3 linked regions of the Coturnix japonica genome follow. The protein of the gene in region 2 purifies or fractionates together with the protein of the main gene of each other region. This does not show direct contact. Links are inferred from orthologs where the notes say so. Each region holds a gene or a part of one and is shown on either strand. Other genes may lie near its edges.

Region 1 (3,602 bases), on a different chromosome or scaffold from region 2:
TGCTCCCTGCTTCAGTGCAGTACTCTTGGTTGTGGCCTTTAGGTCCAGAAGGTTCAATAACTAAACACAAGACCAGCCATGTGGAATAACACCCAAGGGTAGACAGGATCCTTACGTATTCCTCGTAGGTTTCTGGCGCGGGAGGAGGAGGAAGTGGTATCCGCTGGATGCCGGCTGCACGTGCTCTGGGTGCAGGAGCACCCCGGACTGCTGGGGGGGGAGGCACCCCACGGGCTACAGCTGCTCCCCGGGCAATGGCACCACGCACCGGGGCTCCTCGCACCATGGCCCCCCGGGGAGGAGGCGGCGGAGGGGGAGGACCGACACCACGCCCCCTGGAAGGAGAGGAGAACAACTGTGAGCTGCTATTGCTGTACAGCTGCTTACAGCAACCCTAGAACACAAGTGCTTGATAAATAAATCTGGTTACCATTCGTTAAGCTATGGATTACTTGTCAAGAATGAATTGTTAATACTGTATTGCATCAATTAAAAAAAAACAACAAAAAACACTCTTCTGGGATGGGAACACCAGTGCATTACACGCTGTGCAGGAATAAACCCAACACAGAGCATTGGCTGAGGGGTTTCTCAGAGCTCCTTTCCAGCTGCCCTCTGTCACTGACCAGCAACGACTGCCACCCCTCCAGCACTGTACAACCAGCGCTGAGGGGAGCAGGGACACTTCTGGGATGGACGGTCAGACAGAAGTACAGGCCACCCCTGTGAAATACGTAGTGAAGTGACTACAGCAACGGAGTGTTACCACCAATTCATCTCAGCGCCTCGACAGCAGTGACAGAACAACACCACCCTGTGACTTTCACAGGAAGGTCAGTTTAAACTGAAAATATGTATTCTGCTGGAGGCTGCAGAAGCAAACACAAACACAAACCATCTGCACGGCATTCTAAGGCCGACTTTCTCTTTAAAAAACAATCTTCTAGCTATTCTTTCCTCTTTTAATGGTTACTTTACGATGCTGATGATTTCAGACAGCAAAAGTAATAAGGAAGACATCCACTGAGCTAGATCATAACTACTGTAACTCCAAACATGCAGAATATTTGATGGCAGCTTGCTAGAGCAAGCCTGCAAAACAAGGCTAGAAAGCATTGGCCAAAAGCCAAGGTCAAAGTCAACAGCTGATGTACAAGAATAAGCAGCTTAACCTGATCTCGCAGCACCACTCTGAGCAAGATGCAGCATTTCCAGGTCCATGCTTTTGGGAAAGGTACCTTGGAACAGGTGGAGGTGGTGGTGGAGCTGCTCCCCTTCCCCGCACAGGGCCTCCTCGGCCACGAGTTGGCTCTGGTACACCGTTCAGGTAGGAGAGCTCCAAGAATTGCTCCTGACAGATATCATCCATCATATCCTAAAGAGGGGAGAGAGTCAGCTCCAAAGAGCAGCTAACTACAGTCTCTGCTTCAGGGTACCATAAGCCACCGTGCTGGAATAAACATGACCCAACGGTCCTAAATGAAAACCTGCTGGTTGGTTTCCCTGGGATCTTCTCAGCAGGCAGCAGCACACAAATGCCAGCTTACTCCAAAACAGCTGAGAAGAGCACAGTACTGTGTGTGTGCTGCAGATGGTCCCTGGGAAGAGGACCTGCTTGTGGGAGCTCTGGAGGCACCCGATACTCAGCACCCCAGGGACACTGGCAGGATTTATTTGCAAATGTTGGAGAGTTCAGAGGTTAAGTCAGGCAAGATATATCTCCCCTCAAGCACCCTACACTCCCATTTAAAGGCAGACAGGTGGCAATGAGCCCACATAACATAACAGCATACTGCAGTGTCCCTGACACGCTAAAGGAACAGGAGAGGATGCAGCCTGACGAAGAGTAAATAGCAATTTGCAAACGCAGGCTGTCTTCTCGCAGTCTCATGAACACAGAAAGCTTCTGCTCTGTGTGTTTTTATCACCCCAGGGGATCCAGCTTCAGGAATTAGCCGAGTCCCTGGTGAGCCATCAGAGGTCCTTGCAGCCCACCCCTCCCTGAGCACACAGAGGGGATCTTCATGCTGCCATAGCAACTCCACAAGGCAAGGAGTCTCCTGCCAGCTGCGTCTTCACAGCACTGCTGGCTTCCATAGTGACTGCTCTGACAATTTTCACAAGTTTAACACATTGTTTGAAGGCACTGATAGATAAGACTCTTTAAATAGCAAGGCTACACACTTGCCTTAGCAAGGCAGAGTTCTGTACATCCAAGGGTCTCCTTGAAGATGACCTCTTTCCTTCAAAGGCTCTTCACACAGTCATCTCTCTGTGTCAGACATATGGAAACCACCCAGCCACCATAAGCTTTGCCACGCTTCCCCATTACCTACAGCTCTTGGATTCCACCCACCCTTTTTGTTTCAGACAGAACATCTGAGCTCTCCCATCTCAGCTGGTGTGCACTCAGCTCTCTGCCTGCTAGAGCTCTGAATCACAGGCTGGACTAGCCAGAAGCTGGGAGCTCTGTGTGCTTCATCCCCATCTTGTTTTCTTCCCAATTTGGTGAGCAATACCTCCATTTCAATAATGCATGTGAGGTTCCTCCAGGCTCTGCAATTCTAGCTTTGTTGTATTACATAATGTAAGACTAACATCAAGTTGAACGTGAAGGTCTCAGAAACTTCACCAACAGAAGAAATCCCCCAAAAGACAAGAAACATCAGTTGTATACATGTCTGAGCACGAAGAGGTCCCTTCACATCTTACCAACTTAAAGCTATGGAAATATTGATTTAACAGCTGTGTCTCAGAAAATACCTACAACACTTGGTACATTGCTCCCAGGCTCCTGGGCAGCCATACTCCTCACTATCAGGTCACAGCAAACACTTCTGTGTACAGAGCTTCTGTTCTGACCAACCCTATGGAAATCTCTTCCGTGCCAAACACAGACAATTATTCACCTGCTAACACTGACATATGGAGCTGGACAAGCTTTCCATCCCATGTCCATAGTTAATACTGGAAAGAACTACCTATTTCAGGTTTGTTGTGCTACTGCCCTGGTAGTGTTCCACTTTGAGATTGATACTGCACATCTATCTCCTTAAATAAGCAAAGAGCAGCAGTATACATACTGGGACAAGGAACTTCTTGACTTCTTCCATGGCATGAGCCATCAGAGCATATGCTTCACAAGGGGGCCCAAAGACTTCAATGAAGACATGCAAATCCATATTTAGATGAGCATATTTAGGGTCTCCCCCTTTACGCAGCTCTTCCTCCTGAAAAAAAGCATATCACAGAATCCTAAATTAAACAAGATGTAGAAAAACTGCTTTTCTTTTCCTGTTTCCTAAGCCTTAGCAGGCTGAAAAAGCATTTTAGCTGTGTCTGCTCATATCGATCACGTTAACACCCTATGCACATGACTATACAGTTTAACAAAAAGCCACAAGCACACCCTGCAGGCCTCCTCCAGCTTTTCACAGCTGCCTTTCCAGGTGACTGCGATGTCAGAGTAAATGCAATGATGCCAGAAACTTTTCCCACTAAGCACACAGAAGCGATGTTCTGTTCTACACCCCCTACTGCCTGAGGTGTTCTTCACAGTGGAAGCGAAGTCTGATATCTCACTCATGCTCTAATTCTGCTCT
Region 2 (4,056 bases):
GGACACCGATGGCCATCGCTGGTGGCCGCACGCTGCGCCCTGATAAGATAACGGGGCCGAGCGGGCGCTGTGCTGGCACTGATAGCAGCGACCACCCCGTGGTGCACACAGCAGTGCAAAGGGCAGCAGAGGTCAGCAGCAGGGGGGGGCTGCTCTGCTAATGGGGCACACACATTCCCAGTCCTGATGGGAATCCAGGGCTTTCTCGAGGTGTTTACCCCCTTCCTCCCCTCCTTTCTCTCTCTCCTATAAAACAAACATCTGCTCCAAATTTGCAGCTCGTGCTCTGAGCAAACTCTCCGAGTTTTCAGACTCGGTTCAAGGAAAACAGATCAATTAGGAGCCGGCCCGCAACCCCCCCAGGATGCAGAGTTATGAAGGCAGGACCTTCTTACATTAAAAAAGAATTACATAACACAGGAAGTAGGGGGGAAAAAAAAGTGCATAAAAGACAAAAGGCTCCGGGGATCAGCTGTGCTGAGCTTTGGGTGATTAACTAAAGGCACAGAAAATGATCAGAGCTCTTCCCACCGAAGCAGCCCGGCCCTCAGCGGGGTTATTAGCAAGAAGGTGATGCGCTGATAATGGGAGCTGGCTGAAAACATTGGGCGTAGAGACAAATATTGATGGAGAAATGGCTCCGTGTGTGTGTGTGTGTGTGTGTGTGTGTGTGCACAGATTGTGCTTTTTGTACACGATGTTGGGTTTGGAAAGGCACAGAGATGGAGCTCACAGCTTTCCAAGCGAGATGCTCCCCCCAGTCTGACCCAACCCCAGAGCAGCCCAACGAGGAGCAGAGATGGGCCCATGCACACAGAGGAGGTTCTTCATCCCGGCCCAGCTGGCGGTGCCGCTGCTGAGTCAGAGCTGCTGCTGCTGGGAGGGCAGGGGACCCGCTGGCAGTGAGTGCTGCCCATCACACAAGGTCACTCTTTATGTGACACAAGGCTCTACACAAGGGTCACCCAGCCAGGCCCCCCCTCCTCCTGGCACCAAGGTATCGCACTGACATCCCAACCAGGGTCACGCTAACAGTGACCTGCCTGAGCCTCTGTGTGTACTGAGCACCAGCACTGATGATGCCCAACCCAACATCCCTCCGACCCAACCTCACTGCTGCTGATGGCAGGACGTCCTGCACACAGAGCTTTGCTGCTGCACCGAACACTCACGGAGATGAAACTCTCCCACAGAGGGATGTGACCCAAGTCTGAGAGCTCTGTGTTACTTGTAGACGCTCCCTCATTTTGAAATGGGCCGAAGGATCATTAAGGTTTGAAAAGACCACTAAGATCCCCAGCCCGTCCCACCGTGCTCACTGAGGGCTCCATCCATGCTGTGCCATGAGCACAGAACGGCTGGTCCCAGCAGTAGAGTGCACCGCATGGGAGGGAACCTCAGCTTGGAGTTCAACAACCCCCGTTTTTCTTTAGCTCAAAACCTATGGATCTTTACAGTTATGCTTATTTGATCATCTCTGTCCCTGGGATGAACCCTCTGCTTTTTTCTGCCCCGCTCCTGGCTGTTGGCAGAGCAGCAGAACCCCACAACCACATCAACGGCACAGCTGAGGTTTGGGGGATGGATGGATCCCTTGGAAGGCACAGCCCCAGCCCCACAAAGACTCATGAGGGTCTGTCCGTGGGGAGGAGGGAGCCTGAAAGCTCCGTGGGGAGATGGGAGAGATGTTGTATCTCACCATCCCTATATGGGGCGGCCATTGGGAGACACAGCGCTGGAGATGGGGACTGAGAGCACAGAGCAGGACAGCAGCACCGGGAAGTTTCCCAGCTCTGGGCCTCCCCCCGCCCCTTCCCACCTCTCCCTGTGGTCTCCCACAGCTCTGACAAATCTCTGCCCCCGCAAAGCACCGTGTGCGGGAAAGAGCCGCCGCCAACCGCGTCCCACTGCAACCCTACAGCCCTGCAACCCTACAGCCCTGCAACCCTACAGCCCTGCAACCCTACAGCCCTGCAACTCTGCCGGGGGCTGCAGCGAACCCGGCGGTGCCGAACCCGGCGGTTCCCCATCCTCGGCCGCGCTCGGCCCCGGTTTACGCTCCTTCCATCCCATCCATCTGTTGCGCTCGGTCGCAGCACACAGGACGCTCGTGCAGCCCCTTTCGGCAACGAATCCCGCACGGAGCCGGGACGGATCCGAACCGAACCACACGGTGCGGAGGGGCTCGGGCTGCCCCAAGATGGGGGGGGGGGCACCGAAACCGGACACCGTCACGTGCGGCCGCGGGATGCGCACGGAGCTGCCCGGGGGATGGTCGGGGGGCGGAGGGTGCGGGGCTCCTTTTGTCTTTCTCCCCCCCAACCCCCTGTTCGCTTTTTCCCTCCCCTCCCCGCCGAGCCGGGGGTGGGTGAGTGGGGGCGGGAGGGTGCGGGGAGGTTCCCACCGCCCCCAGCCCGCAGGAAGCAGGAACACCTCGTCCTGCTTTTCCTGCCCGGTGCCGCGTTCCCAGGGCGGGGAGGCGCTGCTTGGAGCTGGGGGGTGGTCTCGGTTCTCACTCACCGGCTCCCTCGGTCTTGTCGGAGCCGCGGCTCCAGGTGACCTGCCGCGTTTCCAGCTTCACCTGGAAAGTTTTCCTCTCGGGCCGCTGCGACTTTTTGGAGTAGAAGAGGGTCATGACGGTGCCCACCTCCAGGCTGCGGCACAGATGAGCCGCCTCCGCCTCGCTGGGCGCCCCCGACCCCGCCGCCATCAGCGCCCGCCGCTTGCACCGCGCTGCAACGCGAACAAAGGGGAGCGGAGCGCCCGCAGCGCCGCCACCGCGCCCCGACCCGCGGCCGGGAGCTGCGGGAGGAGGAGGAGGAGGAGCCGAGGGGCGGAGCGCGGCCGACGGACGGCGCCTCCACGCGTGGGGCCCGAGACGTGCGGGGGAGGCGGGGAGCGGCTCGTGGGTGGGTGGGTTGGGGCCGCCGCTCAGCTCCGCTTCAGGCGGACCCACGCGTGGGTAAAGCTGTTGAGATGAAGCGCCTCGAGGTGGCTGTGGGCACGGAGGAGCAGGTGATGGCGGTGGCGGCTGCCCGGGGCTGCGGGCATAGAACCCCCCTGTCCCCCATCCCGGCCCCCCGGCCGCGCTCAGCTGGCTGCCAGATGTGAGCGGCCAAACGCGGTGTGGGGGCCGTAGGGGCAGAGGGCACGGCAGTGGGTCAGCGAGGGGCTCGTAGCTCGCAGTGTCCCCCGGTGTGTGGGGCGGCCATGGGGGTGGGTGGCTGCCGGCACCCTGCAAAGTGAGCTGCTGCCTCTGTGCTTGTGCTCCACCAGGCTCCAAAGGGACACACTGTGAGCCATCCCTCCTACGTGAGCGCCCAGGAATCGCTGTGCACCGTGGCAGGAACCAGCACTAAGAAGCCCACCCCAGTCTCCAGCGAACAGCAGCACTGGGGCTGTTGTAGCCCAGGATGGAAGCGGTGCCAATATGGTGCTTCTCCTCCTGAGCTCTCCAAAGCCCTGCAGGGTTACTGCAGCCCCCGGATCCCTCCAAGAACACAGGCTGCTTTTGCCTCTTGGCTCACCTGGTTTCAATTTGCAGCCTGTGAGGCCACAGGGGGGATGGGGCTGCAGCCAGCAGGGTTTGCAGCCTTCCCTGTGCTGCCCGCAGCGCAGCTGGGCTGGCAGAGCAGATCCAGTTCCAAGGTGTTTCACCCTTTCTGCTCCCATCAGTGTTCGCTGCCTCAGTTTCCCCCATGGGAGAGTCGTGGGCTCAGCCCCAGCACTCAGCAGTGTGGGATGGGAGGTTGGTTGGGGCAGGCTGCAAAAAGAGATTTCTCACATGCTGTGTTCTATGGATACAAACCTCAACTCAGCCCTGCTGCGTCCATCCCAGCCCTGCCATCCCCCAGTGCTCTGCGTGGCTGTTGGGGTGGCTGAGCCCCTCTCCTGGTTATGGGGCAGGGTTTAGGGTTAGGATGGGGCCCTGTGTGACAGACCACACGGACAGCAACGCTCCGTTAAGTTGTAGGAATTTATTTTAAATAACCTACAGTTGATTAAAAGGGAATTCATGATAAAAATAGAAGATACTTGTTGGAGGAAAAGGCTGCA
Region 3 (4,199 bases), on a different chromosome or scaffold from region 2:
CAGGGGCAGGGGTGAAACAACTCGGCCAGTCTCACAAGAAATTACCTTTCTGTGGAACCCTTGCCACACTTAGAACTGCTCTACCCAGATTAAATCTATTGGAGGAGTGCTGCAGGAAATTCAGAGCACAGATGCCCTGGTCTCCATGCTTATATGCGCATGCTGTTGCCCCTTTAAGTCAGTTAAAAAAGCGTGTTTCGTCGAAGCAATCATAAATATTTACACTGCAGCTCTATGTTTAGGAATATCATTTTAACAACAAGACTGTGCTGAAATCCTTTTATTTAAAAACCCGTAGGAGAAAGCAAACAGCATTAAACAGAAGCCCACGGAGCCAGTGGGCTGCAAGACAACGTGGAATTACATATCCGATTGAAATATGGCAACGTGGAAACCAAGCCCGTAAGAGATGGCTGTTGAGACTGTAATTTCTTTACCAGCACAGCAGGGCATGAACGCGCTGCCATTCTGTGAGCCCAGGGACGCAGACAGCGTCTGCTCTGACACCGGGCACGAGCCCAGCAGAGTCCCACGGGTACTCGCAGCGCTGCAGGACCTGGAATGGGATCCTGCCTTCAGAAGGCAAGATAGGAAGGTTCGTTTCGGCAGATAAAAGGAGGTTTGTCTGCAGGGCGGTGGAAGCGCGAGTAGGAGTTTGTTTTAGTGGCCTGGGGAGAAATTCACTTAATTCTTTTGGTAACACAAGGCTTTGAAAACCTGAATGTTTAGATGCCTCCTGAGAACTTTGGAGAGGCGTGCAAGTGTCAACGTGCTGCTATTTGTCAGCTCTTTTATTATGGGGGGGGAGGGAAAAAAAGAAGAAGAAGAAAAAAAGAAGATAATGAGAGAAGTATCAGCACGGTAACGGAGTAACCGGCAATGGAGTACGGGCGGCAGTGCGGTCACACAGCGGCTGCAGGCGATGCGCTGTTCTCCTCCCGCAGCACACGGCGGTGCAGCTATAACGGGGACACACAAAGCACGGGCTCAGCACGCCCCGATCGCGCCGTCCCTTCCCGCCGTGCCCCCGCGCCACCTGCCGCCTCTCCTGGCTTTTACTCCCCATACTTTCTTCTATTTTCCCTCCCAAAGGCAGCTCAGCCTCAGGGCGCACCATGGCCGCCCCTTGGCCGCACACCATGGCGGCTCGGGCCGCTCCTACCCCGCACTTTCCTCCCCCACGCGGTGCGGCCGCTCCCCCTCCTGCCCCGCCCAGCTCCACGCACGCGCTCATAGGGACGAGGCTGGGGAGCGGCGCACATGCGCGGCCCGTCCCACCGCCTCCGTCCTTCCCCCCTCCCGGCTGGCGGGCGCACGGGGGCGGGCACAGCGCGGGGCGGCCGAGCCGCTCCCCTGGCGGCCGGCGGGGCCGAGGCAGCCGCGCCGGGGCCCTGCGGAGCCGCCGTGAGCGCGCAGCCCCCGCCCAGCCGGGTATTGTTCGCGGCCCGTCTCCGCCGGGACAGTTTTGCCCTCGTCCCGGCTCCGCTCCCCGCCGGGGCGGGGTGGGCCGGGGCCCCTTTGTCGCCACCTCCCCGGCGTGCGGCGGCGGCGGCGGCTGCGGGCGGGAGGGCGAGCGGCGGACGGGAGGGGGGGCGAGGCTCAACATGATGGCGGCCGAGGCCGGAGCTGAGGACGGCGGTTCGGTTACCTCGGCCGGGACGGCGGCCGCCGCCGAGCCGGGGCACTGCCGAGGCAAAGCACCGGGGCCGCAGGGCCCCTTCGCGCCCGGCTCCAGCTCCGGCTCCGGCGGGGACAGCCCGGGCGCCGGCCCGGCTCTGTGCTCGGCGCTCGGGCTGCTGGCGCTCGGCTCCACGGGAGCCCCGCCACCGCCCAGCGAGCCGGGCTCCGCCGCCTTCCCCCCGCTGCCGCCGCCGCCGCCGCCCCTACCCCCGGCCGGAGGGCTGGCGGCCGTGGACGAGGGCGACTCGCTGGACGGGCCGGAGTACGAGGAGGAGGAGGTGGCCATCCCGCTGAACGCGCCCCCCACCAACCAGTAAGTACCGCGGCCCCCCACCCCCCTCGGTTCCGCTCCCGGAGCGCAGGAAGAGCGCGGCTCCGCGCAGCGCCGCGTGTCCGTGCGGCGGGGGGAGGCCCGGGCGGCTCCCGGACAGACTGGGACTGCGGCGCTAACTTTGTAACAGGCGGAGACCTCCCCGCTGTACAAAGCGCTGCTCTCCTCGTGTCATCCCTTTGCATTCCGTTGTTTATACCTTAAAAAAAAGCAACAAGAACAGCACAAAGAACACCCCAGCCTTTTTGTTATTTCATACAGGAATATCACGAAGGTTGCACGCACGTGTTTGCCTTCGTGGAGTAGGGAGGGTGAGGTTTGCTCACTCTGGAACGCGGGTTGGAAATGAGTAGAATTCTTCTTCTACTTTAAAATAGTGGGCGGGCTGTGCTTACAGAATAGCGCCTGACTTTGCTGCTCAGCCAGTTTAAAGCGAGGCTGATGTTGGTTTGTCTGTATGGAGGCAGGAGGCAGAGGTGAAAATCCTGCAAACCTCCTGTTGGATTTCATTCTGTTATCTCTGTTTTAAGGTGAATGGATGTCCTGTGGTGCTGGTAACAGAATTTCGCACTCTGAGCAGAGCAGTTCTCAATTTATATTGTGTGAAAAATGTAGGATCAGATAATGCTGTGTGTAGTTTGTGTAATTAATGAGCACTCCATGCACAACCTTTGGGCTGAAGCATAGGAAGTCTGCAGGTTTGTGTGTAGCACCTCAAGCCCCGTTTCAGTACAGAAAACAGTTCTCTGGGAGGGTGCCTGGCTATTTAAAAAATGGAGTTGCTTCAGAAGCTCTATTGGTTGCACCAAGTAGTGTCTAGAAATGTGTTGTTCCTGAAGTTTCCTGAGGATAGTAGATAATGTAAGGTTTCAAGGTACTGAAACAGTTGGGCTAGATGTTCATAGCGGGCTTTTCCAACCTTAAGGAGTCTGATTGTGTGAAACCATGAGGGTTGGTAGATAGTTTCAAGGCGTGGATCAGAAGGACGACCTGAAAGCCCATCTGAGTTTGGGTTCTTTGTTACATTCTTTCCCAGTACCACTCTTAAGAGACTTCTGCACCATTCGTGTATTTCCATGATTTCAGGAATCATTAAAGTCATCAGGAGGACATAAAAATGTACCGATATGAATCCCTTTTAAATTCATGTCTCTCGCTTTGACAGTCTTCCCTGTAATCTCCTGATTTCTTGACTTTCTGTAGAAGTTTGCTAACTTAAGGCAGTGTTTGAACAGTGTTTGACTGGCGTCACTAATGAGCTGGAAATATGATCAGGCAGTTCTGACAAAGGATCAGGAGGGAAATAGAGGCACACGAATGTGAAATTACTTCTTCAGGGTTGTCAAATCACTGGAGCACACAATTCTGTACTTCTGGTTTTCTCTCTGAAAATAGATCAGACTGCTTTTTCCATTAGATCCAGTTATGTTAGTCAGAGAGAGAGAGTCCTTTTTGGAAGTATCTTTAGGAAATGGGGTGACAGATTGTAAATGACCACCTGTTCGGTCCTAAATATGCAATATGGACATATGCTAATAGGAGTGGGATTTGCTGTCAGAGCATTGTCCTGTGACTGAAGTGCTGGAGTGATGTCTGTCTTTAAGTGCTTTGACAAGTGTGTGCTGAGGGGAAGGCTGTGCAGGCCCTAATTTGCTCTGGTTAACAGTACCTTATTCAGACAAAAGGGAGACAGGAGTCTTTGCAGAACCAGGGCATAACTGTGAGCTGAGCTTTCTTCATAAAAGAGAATCCTTCACAACAAATCAAGTATTGTGGAAAATGTACACGTACCTCCCTACTCTGTGTTCTTAACAGCTTTTCCTTTGCCACATAACCCTCGGAGTGTGACTTTTCAATAAAAAATTGATTGAATAGAACCGTGTTTCTCTCTCATTCAGCTCCTTTATGGTGTCAGTTTTCATCGTTCTTATTTAAGTCATTCAGATTGGCCATATGCTGATAGTAAATCGCATCCTCTCAGTCCTGCTGTTTTATTTTGGAAGGGCCCTTTCTTTGTAGATGTACCATCTGCTTCTATGGAATTAAACTCCTGATTTATTATCAAAACAAAGATCAATATTATCTATAATCTTATACAGGGAAAGGTTTGCTATAATTCTTTAGGAATAATGATTGAATTTATAGTTAAGATTAAATTTGTCCAGTTGGATATGACTACAAAACTGCT

Evidence for each region.
Region 1: the proteins of PLCG1 (region 2) and KHDRBS1 purify together in Homo sapiens (affinity purification with western blotting; 7 studies listed by BioGRID and IntAct, with this or other methods). This does not show direct contact. The link is inferred for Coturnix japonica from reciprocal best matches to the Homo sapiens genes PLCG1 and KHDRBS1.
Region 3: the proteins of PLCG1 (region 2) and RASA1 purify together in Homo sapiens (affinity purification with western blotting; 3 studies listed by BioGRID and IntAct, with this or other methods). This does not show direct contact. The link is inferred for Coturnix japonica from reciprocal best matches to the Homo sapiens genes PLCG1 and RASA1.

The regions. Positions count from the first base shown.
Region 1 is NC_029538.1:4,473,862-4,477,463, reverse strand, and holds part of KHDRBS1 (KH domain-containing, RNA-binding, signal transduction-associated protein 1), read right to left. Parts: intron 3,231-3,602; coding exon 3,084-3,230; intron 1,376-3,083; coding exon 1,239-1,375; coding exon of another isoform or gene 1,173-1,238; intron 336-1,172; coding exon 116-335; intron 1-115. UniProt on the Homo sapiens protein: Recruited and tyrosine phosphorylated by several receptor systems, for example the T-cell, leptin and insulin receptors. Once phosphorylated, functions as an adapter protein in signal transduction cascades by binding to SH2 and SH3 domain-containing proteins.
Region 2 is NC_029535.1:4,195,266-4,199,321, reverse strand, and holds the start of PLCG1 (1-phosphatidylinositol 4,5-bisphosphate phosphodiesterase gamma-1), read right to left. Parts: upstream 2,803-4,056; 5' UTR 2,711-2,802; coding exon 2,521-2,710; intron 1-2,520. UniProt on the Homo sapiens protein: Mediates the production of the second messenger molecules diacylglycerol (DAG) and inositol 1,4,5-trisphosphate (IP3). Plays an important role in the regulation of intracellular signaling cascades.
Region 3 is NC_029547.1:54,365,696-54,369,894, reverse strand, and holds the start of RASA1 (ras GTPase-activating protein 1), read left to right. Parts: upstream 1-1,365; 5' UTR 1,366-1,604; coding exon 1,605-1,993; intron 1,994-4,199. UniProt on the Homo sapiens protein: Inhibitory regulator of the Ras-cyclic AMP pathway. Stimulates the GTPase of normal but not oncogenic Ras p21; this stimulation may be further increased in the presence of NCK1.